2 separate regions of the Mus musculus genome follow, and region 2 is reported to be linked to region 1. Evidence: microRNA targets listed by miRTarBase, many of them from high-throughput screens and not tested one by one. Region 1 holds a microRNA gene; the other region holds the end of a gene's coding sequence.
The links. The annotated mature microRNA mmu-miR-3065-5p reads UCAACAAAAUCACUGAUGCUGG and lies in region 1 at 1,201-1,222, shown strand. An mRNA with a match to its seed (bases 2 to 7 or 8) in the 3' UTR can be bound and repressed. Matches are read on the target gene's strand: a 7mer-m8 pairs with bases 2 to 8, a 7mer-A1 pairs with bases 2 to 7 and ends in A, and an 8mer does both.

Region 2: miRTarBase lists Fam126b as a target of mmu-miR-3065-5p. Seed matches in the 3' UTR shown: 7mer-m8 at 2,971-2,977, 7mer-m8 at 2,428-2,434, 7mer-m8 at 1,363-1,369 and 7mer-m8 at 737-743.

Annotation. Positions count from the first base shown.
Region 1 is chr11:120,013,580-120,017,579 of GRCm38, forward strand. Mir3065 (microRNA 3065) reads left to right here and starts at 1,188; the gene lies at 1,188-1,274. Aatk (apoptosis-associated tyrosine kinase) reads right to left here. Exons shown (of 14, transcript NM_001198785.1): 4 at 3,149-3,228; 5 at 2,734-2,852; 6 at 2,527-2,614; 7 at 1,880-2,013; 8 at 71-155. It overlaps Mir338 (microRNA 338), which reads right to left and starts at 1,283; the gene lies at 1,186-1,283.
Region 2 is chr1:58,525,848-58,530,355 of GRCm38, forward strand. Fam126b (family with sequence similarity 126, member B) reads right to left here. Exons shown (of 13, transcript NM_001310598.1): 13 at 1-4,412. The coding sequence ends at 3,811. The region is part of intron 2 of Gm15834 (a long non-coding RNA gene); the gene reads left to right. Among named protein-coding and RNA genes, the nearest start is that of Gm15834, 23 kb to the left of the region's middle.

The DNA of each region.
Region 1 (4,000 bases):
CAGGGACAGGATGGGAGTGAGCTCCGCTCAGCAGCTGCCCCTGCACACGGGCCCTGACGGCCTTACTCACCCTGTATTTGCAATGCGACAGGCCATAATCACCAACCTTCACTGTCAGGTCAGCCGTAAGCAGGCAGTTCCTCAGGGCCAGGTCACTGCGGAGTGGAAGGCAATGTCAGCAGAGTGTGCCAGCCTGAGTGAGCCCTGGTGGAATGGTTGGGCTCCCGGGCACAGCCAGGCAGACCGACAGGAAGGGGTGTCTGAGGGGCCACCCACTTGTGCCCAAGTTCTGGCTCCACACCCTGTACTGGCTATTTTGGAAGACCTGTGTGGACTTCAATGCATTTCTAATACTTCTTCTTCTTCTTTTTTTTCTTTTTTTTCCAGACAGGGTTTCTCTGTGTAGCCCTGGCTGTCCTGGAACTCATTTTGTAGACCAGGCTGGCCTCGAACTCAGAAATCCTCCTGACTCTGCCTCCCAAGTGCTGGGATTAAAGGCTTGCGCCACCAAGCCCGGTTTTCAATGCACTTCAATGCATGTGAAAATCAGGCAAAAGATGCTCAAGGACGACCCCCCCCCCCCAGCAAAGTGCTGTCTAACTGCACCAGAGCCCTAACCCGCTCCACCCTCTGTCTGATCTGCCCAACAAGGGCCAACAAGCCATGGAGCAGAGAGTCTGCAGTGTCCTCTCAGGACCCTCACCCTTCCGACTACACTCCACCATCCCAGTCCCCAGGAGGTAAGAACTGATGGAGAAACCGAAGCCCGGAGTGTCTCAGAGGGTCCTGCCAGCAGTCAGAGCCCATGTTCTAGAGTGCAGCCCTGCCTGGCCTGCTACACAAGCTGGAGCCGAGGTCTAGAACAGTATGGACCACAAAGGCCCCTTTGTGTGGAGGATAAAAATCACCAACTCAGTGGGAAGCCTGGAATGCCAGGCTCTGTATAACTCTTGCTTGGCTATAGCGCCCCACCCCCAGGTGTTTGGGGTACAGGACAATAGAGTGCCACGGGACGCACCCTCATCTGCCATACTGGCTGTTCTGCTGAGAGATCTCTGGATGTAGATGGGGCCACCTTGGCCTGCCTCTACCCCAGGAGGACTGTGTCAGGGGACAGGGTGGGGTGACCTGGGTCCATGCCTATGGGTGGGGCAGCTGGGCTAGGCAGCAGGCAGGGCAGGAGGCTGGCAGCTGCCCTCTTCAACAAAATCACTGATGCTGGAGTCACTGTGCACCCACTCAGCACCAGGATATTGTTGGGGAGGACGGCCTGTGCAGCGTTGGAGCTGGTGGGCCGCTTGTCCGTTGCCACTTCTTCCAGCATGTGCCCCCAGCTCATGGGAGGCTGGGCATCCTGGCCACCAGAGGCAGGAGAGAGCCACCCCTCCCACTACAGGGCCAGCCCAGCCACTCCCTTTGTGGCCTGAGGGAAAGAGGCTGGGGTTGGTATGGAGCCCAAGTATGGCTGACTGCTCTAGTAGACAGGATGGGTTTCTTCATTTAACTGTCTGCAAGGTGAGTTTCAAATGCCAAGTCTTCACAATTTATTTCATTTTGAGATGGTCCTGCTACATAGTCCTGGCTATTCTGGAGTTCATTAGGTAGACCTAGCAGGACTTGAACTCACAGAGATTCTCCTACCTCTGCCTCCCAAGCGCTGCAATTAAAGGCGTGAGCCACCATGCCCAGTTAGTTTTCCCAGTTCTAAGAATGATAAAGTTCCCTGCAGAGTGGCTATTTTTAGATGAACCCAGTTCATGAGGCCCACAACGTGGGATCACCGTGACTTTTCTGCACAGGGTCGTGTGATGGTGAGGGTTAAGGCCCTGGGGGAGTGGGGCTTTGTAGCTGTAGCCTGGCTAGTCTCGCTAGCCCTCACCTGTGTACATAGTTGTGTCGATGTAGATGCAAGACGCCACACGCCACCTCGCACGCCATGCGCTGCAAGGTAAGTGGGTCAGGCGCCATGGACTCTGTCACCCGGCAGCTCCGTAGATAACCTTTGAGGTCCCCCTGATGGACGAGAGAGCACACAGTCACCTGCTAGCTGCAGCGACCAGCCCATCACAAGTCTGCCACCCACACCAAGAGAACCTGGGTCTGGTGGCCTGTGGATCAGCTGTGAACCCTAGTGTTCACTGCTGTTTCAGCAAAGCCTGTGTCTCAATTCTGGCACAGTGACCTCCATATAAGCAGCCACCAGAGCTGTGCATGTAAAGGGCCCAAGGGGCAACACGAAGACCCAGAACTCAGGCTCTGCCCCAGGAGCTTCGGGAGCCCTGTGGCTGTCCCAGGACACCTCTCGCTGAACTATCCAAGACCCCACAGTGTTGCCCCTGCTGCTGCTGGCTCACTTTCTCTCCGCAGACCTCCTCTGAGGGAGAGCAAGGACTACCAGGACTCTACTTTAGAAATAACAAAAGACCCCAAGAGGCTGAGCAAGAGAGGAGCCACTCCCCTTTGGAACAATGAGCTACAGAACAGGACCGGGAGAGACAGAGCTACCTCCCCGAGAGGACCACTTACCAGTGGACAGAACTCCATAACCAGCAGGTAGGGGGTCACTTCAGCACACTGGGCCAGGCACTGGAGCAGGTTGCTGTGCTGCAGGGCCCTGGAAGAGTCCACGGGTGTTTAAGTTGGAGGGCAGGAGAGGGTGTCCCATAGCCCTCAGTTTCTCCCACTGTGCTGCTCCCCTGCCCGGCCCCACCCCGCCCCCGCCACACCACCCACCTGTAGGGCTGCGCCTCCTCCAGGAACTGCATCTGCTCCTGCACGCTGGCGCTCACCTTCAGCTCCTTCACCACCACCTGCGTGCCACTGACGCCCGAGTGTACCTCCCCCAAAAACACCTGCCAAATGTGACAGGCATCACCAGGTCCCCTTTCAGTCTCCATAGGAAAAGCCATCTAGCGCCCAGGGCCTCAGATGGTCATACAACTTCTCACCAAGCTCTGGCTAGAACCCTCAGCCCCAGTCCACCCACAAGGCTCCTACTTTTCTCACTGCCTGGGGACTACAATGAGGAAAAAGGAATCAGGTACATGGTCCAGTCTGGGGCGGGTGTTAGAAAGAGCCCCTCCCTAGGGGATCCCCAGGAGTAGTGGGTCCACCCTTTGCCATTCCTGCCACCCCGGGGCATGCTTACCTTCCCAAACCAGCCGTGGCCAATCTCCTTTAAGTACAGGAGGCTGTGCCGGCCCAGGTCCGTGGACTTGAGAAGTTGCACTAGAGTGGAACAGAAATCCAGACACAGCTTAGCCACCGCTCCCTCTCCATCTTCCCGACCACGCTCTCCAGAGCCCAGAGAGCTTTCCCAAGCTCCCCAGCCAAAGAAGCTTCAATAAAGTGGAGGCCAGGTTTGAGCGCTGTCATCGAGGGCCAGTGTCTCTTAGGCTCTGGGGTGGCTGCTGTCAGCAGAGCTATGGACCTCAAGTCTCCATCCAGGCAAAGCCTGGGGATGCCCAGAGCAGAGCCACAGGGAGAAGCCAAGCCCAAACAGCAGGGCCTGGAAAGGCGTTTGGATGAGGCAGGAAGCTGGTGCCGAGGCCTGGGAGGACAGCAGAGCAACCAACCCCCTACCCCTGCCACAGGCTGGCATTCAAACCCCCACCACAGCAAAGCCGCCTTTGTTGGGGGCTGCTTGGCACAGCCCTGTACGGGACACACTGGCTCCATTCTCCCTGTGAGACAGGCAGAGTGAAGTCAGAGGAGAAGAAGGGTCAGCGTGGGCAGAGGAAAGGGCCAGGGCTCACTGCACCCACTCATGCCCCCTCGGATTCTCTGAATTCTGCTCCCACGCTGATAGCCCAGAAGGCCGGGGTCAGGGCTGCTGGGACGCCCAAGGGAAGATGGCAGCCCTCGGGGACTAAGTCTGCTTGGTGCCCAGCTCATGGAAGAGTCTCACCGGGCACTGTGCCCCCAAGACTTACACCCTGAACCTAATCTGTCTAAATGCCTGGTGGAAACCCTGGGGTCTCTAGGACCTCAGTTGTCCCAG
Region 2 (4,508 bases), not on the chromosome of region 1:
CTATATGTGATAAATGACCCAGAGACCACTGTGCATGGATTCAAAGTTTCACACTCACTATTCTTCTTTTTCAGTAACGTAGAGGAATATTGCTCTTATCTACTCTAAGCCGAGTAAGGAACAATTTCTCTCTAGATGAAAAATGAATGGAATTGAGTTTATCTTTACTCTGCAATCTTCTACAGTGTACCTTTGATGACTGAAAACTGGCTGATTAAAGATCACTTTCAAATAGTTAGAAACACTGATCAAGGAAATTTCATTGGGTTTATTTTGCATCTAAACAAATCCCCCAAAATACAAATAACATGGCAGCATATAACTGTTATGTGGTAGAAAATTCACAAGGCATAAATTAGAAAAGAATAATGTGCTATACAGACACCTACATTTTGAACACATCCCCATCTGTATTAATTATTTTACTTTTTTTTTCCTTCTGGAATTAATACTTTTCTTAATGTGTTCACCAGCTACTAGACCAGAAACATAAAGAAATAGCAGAAATGGAAGTGTTTCATATCACATTTACTAAAGTATGGATAACCAGAGGCAATGAGGCATCAATATGCACGTGACTAGAGACAAGGTTTGATTATGGCCCTGCTTCTTAGTCATGGGCCTTATTTCACATCCTCCTTTGAGCCTCAGTGTCCTGAGGATGCAATGTGTGTGTATGGCAGAGAGAAGAGCCAAATTATCTCTAGGGTCTCTTCTAGCACAGAAACCTGATCTGCAACAAACAGGCACAGCACAGTGGGCTGCGAAAAAAGGGGCATTGGCAAAGGACCAAGATTTTAAATGACAACTCTTCCCTCCCTAGCTTGTAAGTTAACTTTTTACTTTATATTTTAGCTTTCTTACCAGTAAAACTAACTGAAAGTCATATAGAAAAACTCCTAAAACCTTCAGATACTGTAGTCCTTAATCTAACCTAGTACAGATGGCATCAATATAAGACAAATATTTTCCCCTAAATGCTTTTTTTCTACTAGTGCGATGAAGCTTCATGAAAGCTGAGAAATATTAAAGGGAAGTTATTAAAGGTTAAATTATGGACATTTCTAACTTTCTATGACATTTTTAACAGCTGCTGTATAACTGAACAAAAACCATTTTAAATTCAATGATGGTAACATAAAGTGGTTGAAATGATCATTAGAAAACTTGGTAGTTTGTCTAATTTTAATTCATTTCATTTTAACTGTTATCTTACACAGAAAATGTATTCTAAGACCCTTGCTATAAAGTGTAAATGAAGAACTTGTTCATTGAGACCAAATTATAGCCCAAAGAATATGAAGCAAATGTTTCAGGATTGTGAAATATTACTTGGGATGTATATACAAAGTCTACACATGCCAACAAAAAGATGAAAAAAACCTTTTTTTTTTTTTTTTTTTCTTTTCTGAGACAGGCCTTCTCTGTGTAGCCCTGGCTGTCCTAGAACTCCATCTGTAGACCAGGCCAGCCTTGAACTCAGAGATTCACCTGCTTCTGCCTCTGGAGTGCTGGGATTCAAGGTGTATGCCACCATTCCTGATTCTTAAACCAACTCTTCAGTTATGATGTTTCTAATCAAAAGATTTTTTCTCATATTTACAACAGTTTATGCTATACTTTCAAGTTATTTGGTATTCTCTTGTGCTTTATTTAAAATGCTTGGTTTAAATGCCAGTCTGTTACATGTGCGCCTGTGAGCTCCAGCATGAAGTAGGCGTGCTTTGCCATCTAAGACTGATACCTTCCTTATGCACCACAAAGCCTCTCTGTTCAGTAGGTTACAAAAACATTTTATTTTACTATTTTACAATTCTTTTTTCTTTTAAGTTTACTTGATATCTCTTAGTTAAATTAGTAGAAATAGGGCTAAAATGTGTCTGTGATAAATGGATACACATATCATACGCATATTATAAACAATCAATAGATCACATTTCAGCTTTTAGTTTTACTCCAAAGTTTGGCAATGATGTGGATAATAGCTGAGGTTCTAGTTCCCTATTTGCTGGGAGCTGAAAAATGTTATAAACTATCAAATCTAATTAAGGATTATTCTAACACAATGCAGACAGACAGATGGACAGATAGACAACTCCTCCAAAAATGGTGGTTTATGTATGAAAAAAAAAAGAGAGGCGTTTTCCTGGCTATTTAATTTATCAAATTTTACGGTAAATAGAGATAAAACAACTTTGTCAATTAAGAGGACACTTGCTTCCTATATAGGCAGTGTAATTTTCATTCACAATACATAAAATGTCTACATGTACAAGGGTGTGTGTAACTGATGTTCTTGAGATGGGTAATTCATAGCAATTGAAGTCACACAATACTGATTTTTAAAATCCTAATATATTCCCTTCTTTTTCAAACAAAGCCTGAGACCCAGAAGAGATTATAAGAAAGTCTTATCCAACCAAATCACAACAAAAATCCTTTAAACTAATAATGCATTTTTGTAGCCTCTTAGCAGTTACCAAATGCTACTCATTTACATTCAACATCTAGTTTACTGGCATGATTTCAACGTTTTATAAAAACGAGAAACTTTGCAGATAATCAGAAGATACACAAACTGCAATAAACACAAAGGCAGTGTGGTCCTTGTAGAGCAATCAAGTCAGTACCCTCTGGTAGAAATGTTCTATACAAATGTGTCACATAGAAGCATCAGTGTTTTCAACCAATCACCTGTCCCTGATGTGTTTCCTTGGAGTATATGATCTCAGGACTTTAGGTTTCTGTATCCCATATCTGACTGAATCTAGGTACATCTAGGAAGCAGCTGAAAGGGTTTCTCTAGTCTGATATCTCAGAGAGTGGACTGAGAAATCCCTCTCTTTACCTGAAGACGTACAGTGTCTACTTCAGTCATCACCAACTCACAAAGGAAAGGAAGAAAGAAAACAATTATAACTTCACCTCATTTACAATCTCACACAAACTAAACAAACAACACCCTTCCCCCAACAAAGCCCCAGCACCATAATATCAATCATTCCTGGGAAATAGAACACGCCCCTTTGAGTCTCTGATTTGTTAGTTCAAACTTTAAGGGCAGAAATGTCCTTAAGTCCTTGTGGGAGGAGGGAAGACCTGTTGTTAATGACTAGAGAGCCATTGAGAAAGTGCATTATCAATCACACAATCAACTTAGAGCCCTACCCTCCAATGGAGGTGGTCACAAATTGATTTAAATGCCTCAATAATTAAACATTTGTGTCCTTGGGATAAAGTAAGGGGGGCAGTTAGCCTCATTTTAATAAAAAAATTGCAGTAGTCTACCACTTTCCCCCATGCTTCCCAAGAATATAAAATTGCACAGGCTCAGAGAAGCCCAAAGTCATAGCAGAATCTCTGAGGCACTCCTGGTTAGAGAGAAAACATATGATCCAGTTATCTTCATAGTTCATAGATTATGTGAACAAACCCGTTTTGTTTTTAAACAAAAGCCAAAGAATCATTTCATAGGGATCTTATACACCATTTCCTCGACATCTCCTCAGTCTCACAGTGTTGAAATGGGACCGATCAGCCTACGATGGATTGCACATCACCCAAGGAGAAAGGAAGGCATGGAAAAGGCAAACGTTTTACACTGCTTCACAAACACATTTAAGGGAATAGGTAGAGAGGTTAAAAGAAAGGAAAGGAAAACCTTATTGCTGTTTCCATACAAAATACAGTATGAGATACCTAAGCTAAGTCAAATCTGATGACAGTGACATCTTTTCACAATGCGGGATGACGTGTCTTGCACAATGAAATGTTCAGTGTAGAAGGTTAGCAGAACAAGGGGCATCAGAACTACACCTGGGATATTAGCTGCATATTGAAACTTGGGGATCGAGACTGCTTGGTTAAGGGGGCTCCTGGGCTGAGGAGCTCTTTACCTTCACCAGCGTGACCTAGCCGGTCTTCTTGTAGACTGATAGTTGAATATCGATTAGCATTTGTAGCTGCTAGATTAGTAACTCCCTCAGTGCCAACCCCAATGCTGGTACTTGCTTGACCGCCATTTACATAGTCAAAAGATTTACTTGAGGAAGCACTGGCTGTCCGGATTAGACTCAGACTATTGGTTTTTGGCACCACCTGGCCTGCAGGCAGGCTCAAGTGTTTCTTCATCGGTGTCAGCTCAACTGAATCTATGCTGAGATCTGCTTGTTGTTGTACAAACTGCTTTCCAACTACTGAATCTCGAGGGCTCTCATTGGATTTGATGGCTAATGCTGTTTCTTTGTCTTTGGCGGAACGCCCAGTTGCTACTTTCCGCAAGCTTCCCCGCTGAGAAGAGGAGGGTGGTTTGGTCCCATGTGGTTGGCTGCTAAGAGAAGCCCCTGATGAAAATCCTTCATCTGCATCATTCATGTTTAAGGACTCCTCTCCGCCATTTAGACCCTCAGCACCTAAAAAATAAATCAGACAGATTATAGCTACATTAAATAAAAAAGCAGCTGTGAATACGCTGACCTAATCTCATGTTAAATGTTTGCTATGATCTC